2 linked regions of the Elephas maximus indicus genome follow. The protein of the gene in region 1 interacts with the protein of each later gene in a pairwise test. Links are inferred from orthologs where the notes say so. Each region holds a gene or a part of one and is shown in the gene's direction. Other genes may lie near its edges. The genes, in order: PTPN9 and RTN3.

Region 1 (3,904 bases):
CATCCTAGACCTCGCAGGCAACCTTTCCAGGAGCTTTTAGTCAGCAAGTGGCATGGAAACAGACGAGCATTGTGTCCCCTCAACATATAGGTGGTTGCCGCAAATCAAACCTAGCCGATTTGCCCTTCAGACAGTTTTCAAACTCTTCTTCCTACAAGGAGCTTAGTTTAACCTCTTAGGAAAACCACACTCTTTTCTTCCCTTTTCTCCCTCCTGCAGCCCGGAGTCTCCTTCTGTACAGCTCCGCAGCCACCCCTCCTCCGTCTCCCCCACCCCGCGGGCTCCTCTCTCCTCCCCTGTACCGCCCTCTGGGGGCCCCTCTCCGTCTCCCCCTCCTCTCTCCTCCCCTGTACCCCCCCCGAAGGCCCCTCTCCGTCTCCCCTTCCTCTCCCCTCCCCTGTATCCCCCCCCAGGGCCCCTCTCCGTCTCCCCCTCCTCTCTCCTCCCCTGTACCCCCCCCGAGGGCCCCTCTCCGTCTCCCCCTCCTCTCCCCTCCCCTGTATCCCCCCCGAGGGCCCCTCTCCGTCTCCCCCTCCTCTCTCCTCCCCTGTACCCCCTCCGGGGGCCCCTCTCTGTCTCCTCTTCCTCTTCCCCCCGCCCGCTCCGCCCCCCAGGGCCCCTCTCCGTCTCCCCCTCCTCTCCCCTCCCCTGTGCCCCCCGCCCCGCGGGCCCCTCTCTGTCTCCCCCTCCCGGACGACGTCCTCGCTCTGCCGGGCCCTCCTCGCCGCCTGTTTGTGAATGAGACGCTCAGTTTCTCAATGGAGCCGCGGAGGGCTTGGGCGGCCGCAGCTTTGGCCCTGAGCCGGCAGGGGGGCGCCTTCTCCTCGTTCCCTCCCTCCTTCCCTCCCTCTCCCCGCCGCCGCTTTTGAGGAACGAGGCGGAGAGGCGGCCGCGCAGGTCGCCGGGGCCCGCAGCCCGAGCACGGCCCGAGCGGCGGCCTGGAGGCTCCGTCACGTCTGCGGGCGCCGGAGAACCGAGAAGGCCGGTGGCTTTCGGGAAGTTTCCACGCCGTCCTTTGGCTCCGGCCTTGAAAACTTCTTTATTTAATAGCTCCGTTTCTAATCCCGGTTGGCTGTTAGCTCCTCGCCTGCATTTTTTTTTTTTTTCCGGGAGAGGAGGGAGAGTGTGAGGGAAAGAGAGAAGAAAATAAAAAAGGATTTCCGCCCAGAAGGGAGCCGCAGTTCGGAGAGGGTTTTGTGCGCAGACGGGAGCGGGTCTGCGGCCGCCGCGGGCGCCGGGCCCCGCCGGCCGGACCATGCGCGAGCCGGCCTCGGGCTGCTGAGCGCGGGACGCGGAAGCGGAGGCCACAGTCCGGGCTCCCCGGCTCCCGGGCGACTGTGTCCGCGGGGCGGCGGCGGGATGGAGCCCGCGACCGCGCCCCGGCCCGACATGGCGCCGGAGCTGACCCCGGAGGAGGAGCAGGTAAGCGGGGCCGCGGCGGCTGCGGTGGGTGTGTCGGGCCCCCGAGGCCTAGGCCAGCTTCTGCCTCCTCCCCAGGCCGCGCTCCCGGGCCGCGCCCCGCGCCCAGGCCCCGCGCCCAGGCCCCGCAGCGTCCCCGCTCCAGCGCCCCGCACCCCGCGCCCAGGCCCCTAAGCGTCCCCGTTCCAGCGCTCCGCGCCCCGCACCCCGCGCCCAGGCCCCGCAGCGTCCCCGCTTCAGCGCCCCGCGCCCCGCAGCGTCCCCGCTCCAGCGCCCCGCACCCCGCGCCCAGGCCCCGCAGCGTCCCCGTTCCAGCGCCCCGCGCCCCGAGCCCAGGCCCCGCAGCGTCCCCGCTCCAGCGCCCCACGCCCCGCAGCGTCCCCGTTCCAGCGCCCCGCACCCCGCGCCCAGGCCCCGCAGCGTCCCCGCTCCAGCGCCGGGCAGCTGGGCGGCCTCTCCCCCTCCCCCGCCCGGCGGCCGCGCCCAGGGTCGTCGTCCCCCGAGACGGGGGGGCGCCGCTGGACCCTGCCCCTTGCCTCTTTTATCCCCGAGGCTTATAGGTCTTATTTTGCCCCTCACTGTGCCGGGTTTAATTAAAGTTCCTCGAATTGGGGGGTCTCTTTTTCCCTCCCCTCCACCTCCGCGTTTGCAGAACACACACTTGCCCCGGCGGCCCTTTCAAAGCCCATAAATGTATTGCTGCTTTCTGTGAGGGGTTGTGGTTTTTTAAGGGCAGGAAAAGCCCCAGATTTGGGCGAGTGTGATAGGCACTGGGTGCATAGATGCCCTGGGTTTTCACAGGAGCCCCGCAAGCTTCTCAAAGGGCTGTGGCAGGGTTGTCTTGGAATATGCAGACCAGGCCTTCTCATGCTGCCGAAGTCCCTGGCCTTGGCGTCCCTACTCACCCATCCCAGTCTGAGCGCATCCCCTCGCCCTCACTCCCTACCCCAATCTCTTCTGACTGCCTCCATCTTTCTGAAGCCTCCATTGAGTTCCATTGTCCCTTAAAGCTTATGATCTTCAATCCCCAGTAGGAAGTGGTTTGCGGTATCAGTTTGGGGCTTGGGGAAGGGAGAAGGCAGAGGCCATTATGACTTTCCCTCCCCCACATTCCAGCTCTGGAGACACAGATCACTCCATCTGAGGAAGACAGGAAAGTCGGCTGGGTCAGATTGGGAACCTTGAAGGCTTTTCGCTGTATCTTCCTTGGTACTGCCCATACCCAGCCTTAGCTATGCTCAGATATAGCTATAGTCTGATTCCGTTTTTTTTTTAAGACCTGAAAAAAGAAAAAGGTGAACATTTAAAGCTGTCCAGCCCTTGTTTCCAAGGACCACATTTTTTACCATAATCTCTAGCGTGGAGACAATTTAGGTTTACAAAATAATATTGGCTCATAGGCTTAAAACCTGATTAAAAAAAAAAAATCCCTTGACTTTTCTCCTCATTTGTGGAGATGACATTTTTCATGTTGGCCTCAGATCACAGTCTTGTCTTTTGATGCCTTGAGATAAAATCAGCATGGGAAAAAAAAATAGAATTCTGCTGCGTACAAGAAGTGGTAACATCCTGGTAACTGCAGTTGAGTGTTAATGAAACACTAAAAAGAGGGCCTAATGCAAGCAGATGGCCTTGGAGCCCATCCTGTCAGAATTAGTGCAATACCTCAGTACTAAGGTGAGATGTGTTATGTTGATTTTAAAGGAGGAAATCTCTTTCATCTCTTTTTCCTTGGGTTAGTCAGATTTGAAGTTTCTATGTTTCTAGACTTAAAGGCAGCAGTATGCCTACTATGAAAGCGCCATTAGGTTGCAAATTAAAAAATGAAACCAGGGAAAGTGAATATTGAAGCATCGGTAATGGTAATAATTTTATTCTGTATATAGTTTGTATACATACAGGTGTGTTATTTTTTTTTTTTTTTACATTAGAATGAACGCAATGGACAGTAAAGAGGACCGGATAGAAATAGTAAAATGTTTATATGTTAAGGTCAAGAGATTATATGTTATTTTTTCAATCATACCTTTTGTTTTCTACAAAATGCTAAGTTTCCTATATACATCTCAAAATGTTGAAACACTGAAACACGAACATGAAAGCAGAATAGTTATGGTAATGCCTGATGTTCTCATCTTTTAGTTTAATATCACATAAGGAAGAGTACTCTTAACGGTTAAGGTTTCTTTAAAATATTTAACAGGAGCAAATGCATGTTAACCTCATTGAAGTAGCTGTAATGGGAAATGACACACTCATTCCATAATGTTGTCCCATTGCTCAAACCAGTTTTGGAACTCATTTGTAATCGATTTCAAAACTGTGGCAGAATCTTTGAAGTATCTTCTATGTTGGAAAATCCTTGTACTTTTAAAAATCAATTTGATTTCGGGAAGTAGCAAAAAAAACAAATCTGTTGGAGCCCCATTTCATAGGTAAGATAGGGGATCAAACTGGGTTAACACAGTTTCAGGCAAAGTGAAAT
Region 2 (3,904 bases), on another chromosome or scaffold:
TAATGACATGAGTTTTTTATTCATTATCAGTGCGGGTATACAACCAGCTTGGTTATCACCTAATGACATGAGTTTTTTATTCATTATCAGTGCGGGTATACAACCAGCTTGGTTATCAGATCAGCTTGTATGTCCCTTTGCCATCTAAGGGGCACTTTGCTGCTGCATTATCAACTGATGCTGTAAGTGTCAGGGTAAGATATTTACTGCAAAGTTATTTTGGGAAATATTCTTCTGTGCTTTTTTCAGAGCATTGCAACTGCTAGGAGTTTTTTTTTTTTTTTTCCTGTCTGGGTTTTACCTGACCTTAAAAACTGTCAAGGACAGATGGAGTCCACTGCCTGTTCTAGAAGATTTCTACCCTTTGGATTGCCCTCTGTGGCCGCCTGGCTGACTACCTCCTGCTGCATGAGGTTGCATCTTTACAGGATCTGCTGATCCTGCAATTGCCCTTCAGGTCATTGATTGCTGCTTTAGCAATAACAAAGCCTATGGCCTTGATTTTTATTATTTCCAGGATACGTTCTCCTTTTTAAATGGATTATGCACCTGGCAAATATCTTGACCAGATGTAGGCTTTGAATTTGGCAAGCCAACCCAGGAGAAACAAGAAAATGAACAAAATTCAGTATAAGCTGGATGTCTGGTTTCAAATATATTTTCTACTAAGTACTCCTTTAATAAAAAAAACTCTATTATGTGAATTTTGTGTTATATTCTCAATTTTTAATACGTTATCATCCCCCATAACCACAGCCAGGATGTTCTTATTTCCTGGCTCTTTTTTTCCTCACCAGACCAGCTTCTTTTCCTTCAAAATATGTCTTCTCTGTCCGAAGGCCTATTCAGAGGCAAGGTCAAGCTTAAGACCCAAAGTGGACCCCTCTTTGGAAAGAGCAACGAGATAAGAATAAGAAGTAGGTTTGGCGGCTGCATTGCAATGTGATTGGAATGAGTAATGGTTTTTCACTCTGCTCAGCATCTTCCTCCACCTACCAAATGGGGGACTGTGCCTTCTCTGCCGCATGGTGATGACACATTACGACACGTCTAGATAAATTCATAAAGCACTTTTAAAGTGGGCCTGCTCAACACTATGGTTTTCAGTTTTCATAGTCTCAGGTGGGAATGCATCGGACACAAGACATCGGCTCTGTAATTTATGGGAAAGATACTTCCCATCTAATGGAAGCAAAAAGAAACGTCTCTCGCTAAAAACACAAACTACCGACCCTAAAAAAAAAAAAAAGTTTACATAAATAAATATGAGGAAACACCTCCCGCTTCGGCCGCAGGGGCGGGCGGAGCTCGGAGCACGGCCACGCCCCTTGCTCTGGCCCTCCCGGGGGGCGCGCCCCACCCCGGCCGCTCAGGCCGGGCGCTAAGGGAGGCCAGCTTTGCCCCGCCTTTCCTGCAGAGCGCGGAGGGACAGTTCTTGCGCCTGCGCTCTGAGCCGCTTGGCTTCTCCGCGAGGCTCCCGCCCGCCCCCGCCGTGCGCTCGAGGGCCCTTTGTGCGCCTGCGCGCTCTCCCTCCCTCCCTCCTCTCTCGCGCTCGCCTGGGCTCAGTCGGTCAGTCAGTCGGAGTCTGTCCTCGGAGCAGGAAGGCTGAGGGGACTTCGGAGCGCCAGCTGCCCGATTAGTTTATTTCCCTTCCCTCTCTCCCGCCCCACATCTCTCCTCACCCGTCTCCCGCCCTTGCTCGCGCAGCCATGGCGGAGCCGTCGGCGGCCACTCAATCTCCGTCCGTCTCCTCGTCGTCCTCCGGGGCCGAGCCCTCCGCGCCCGGCGGCGGCGGGAGCCCGGGAGCCTGCCCCGCCCTGGGGGCGAAGACCTGCGGCTCCTCCTGTGCGGGTGAGGAGAGCCGGGGAGCCCCTGCCCTCGGGAGGGAGGGTGCTCGGGGCCGGGGGCTCAGTCGGGGGGCGCAGTGGGGTGAGGGGACCGGCAAACTACCCTCGGCTGCTGAGGGATTCGGCCCCCGGGAATGAGCGTTTGGAAAATGGGCAAAGGGGGAGGGGAGCCTAAGGTCGTGCAAGCGATGAGGAAATAACGGGGTGTGGGGAAAACAGGTTGGGGGTGGGGAGGTAGCCTAGAGAGTAGGCGTTAACACCAAGATCTGTCTGGTGGGGGAAAAACACCAGTTCGGGGGAGGGTGGGATTAGATGGACTATTGCTGCAAACATATGACGAGCCAGGTTCGGGGCGACGAAAGCGCAGTCGTCTGAATGGGGTTGATTTAGTGGAGGATTAGAGAGACTGAGGCTATAAAGAGGATCGGGACAGGTTGGTGATAGGAGCAATAATTAGGATTTTGAGGGGATGGAGGTGGAAAGGTTGCAGTGCAGATTTGCAGACAGGTGTTGTCATAATCAGACATGGTAGTCTTCAGTGTTTTTTGTGTTTTTTTTTGCCCGTGGGGAGAATGAGGAAGTTAAACCTGTTTCTTTACTGTTTTTTGTGCCTTTAATTTTTGGTGGCATGCCCGATTTAAAGAGGCGTGATGAGAATAGCTCGGGGAAGATTTGGGAGGGAACAGCTGGTGGGCCAAGATGGATCCGTGGCTGCCTCTGCAGCACAGCCCACTCTTCCCTGGCGCGGCGTGGGGGTGGGCGTATGCAATCAGTCGCATATATTCTAGAAGGTAATAAATAAGGAGCAATGAGAAGCCATCAAATGTGTTTGGGTTTTGTATTTTTTTTTTTTTTTGTGGGCTATTATCAATCGCATTGTAACAAAAGGGGGCGTTTGCTGCAGAAAGGGGGGCGGGGGGAGAAATTCAGACAAAGCAGGAGCTGGTTGAAGCCCCTTCTCCTCCCATCTCTGTGAAAGACGAGAAGCGAAGCTGCAGGCCGCCTTTAGTTTCCATTGTATACGCGTCTGCCTGCTGGTGGGAGCTGGCTGGCAGGCTCCCCTCATGCAGAGATCTGCAGTGCAGATGCCGTCTTGAGGGGAAGAAAATGCACCATGAGCAGGCAGGTGGTGGTTCTTAAAGGAATTGAGTCTTTGAATTAAAAAATAAAATAAAATGCTTTTTGTTAAAGGAAGGGCCATAAGCTAGATAATTTTGCTCTCTAGTTATGTTAAAGGATTTGAGATATTTTAAAATGGTTCTTTGTCTCCTTTGCCAGAATCTTGGGTTGATCGTTCTAAAGAAATAAGATTTCTGATCTTAGCTTTAAATATATTCTCCCCGTGCTGATAGTAGATTTCCACCTGTTTAAGAGCTTTGGTGCCTGGTCGGATTTTCCAGTGTGGTTATGGTCATTTCATTGGAAACAGACCGTATCAGAGGACGCTTTTGCAGGTCAGGATTCGCCCTCAACGGAATGAGGCAGCAAATTTGGAACCCTCGTTTCCTTCACACCACCAGCGTTTCTCCAAATTTTTGTGTTCTGGGCAAAGATCCAAATGAACAGCAGCTTCTTTCTTATTTAGCGACTTGGTGTTTTGGCTTTAATTACTTGTCTCTGCTTACTGTTTGGTCCTTTGGTGCAAACCTTTTGATTTTTCTGTATTTGATTCAGACCTGAGTTTTTGGGATTGCCCTTTAGTGCTCAAGATAAGACCAGTGTTAAATGTTGAGGGTCATTCTTATTAGCAGGCATTAAAATTTAGTCCTAACATTTGCAGCCAAATGGTGAAATCATTTGAAAATTGGCTTCTTTTTTTTCCCTTAATGCTCTGTAATGGAAGAATTGGCTTCTTTAATAGTCCAGTGAAATGAAAATATTTTGTTCACAGACACGCACATGTACACCCCACCAAGCAAACCCTGAATTGGAAATACATATTTAATATGTAATCTCTTTGGTTTGTGTTTCTGATACCATTTATCCTTGTCACAATTTTTATTTATTCTTGGCTTTACCTTCCCCCCCGCCCCCCGCCCCGCCACTGTATGATGGTG

What was found.
Region 2: the proteins of PTPN9 (region 1) and RTN3 interact in binary tests that used the Homo sapiens proteins (3 or more experiments, as listed by UniProt). The two-hybrid records come from large-scale screens. The link is inferred for Elephas maximus indicus from reciprocal best matches to the Homo sapiens genes PTPN9 and RTN3.

Annotation. Positions count from the first base shown.
Region 1 is NC_064831.1:65,482,766-65,486,669, reverse strand, and holds the start of PTPN9 (tyrosine-protein phosphatase non-receptor type 9), read left to right. Parts: upstream 1-1,067; 5' UTR 1,068-1,359; coding exon 1,360-1,422; intron 1,423-3,904. UniProt on the Homo sapiens protein: Protein-tyrosine phosphatase that could participate in the transfer of hydrophobic ligands or in functions of the Golgi apparatus.
Region 2 is NC_064825.1:126,882,790-126,886,693, forward strand, and holds the start of RTN3 (reticulon-3), read left to right. Parts: upstream 1-1,543; 5' UTR 1,544-1,709; coding exon 1,710-1,851; intron 1,852-3,904. UniProt on the Homo sapiens protein: May be involved in membrane trafficking in the early secretory pathway. Inhibits BACE1 activity and amyloid precursor protein processing. May induce caspase-8 cascade and apoptosis.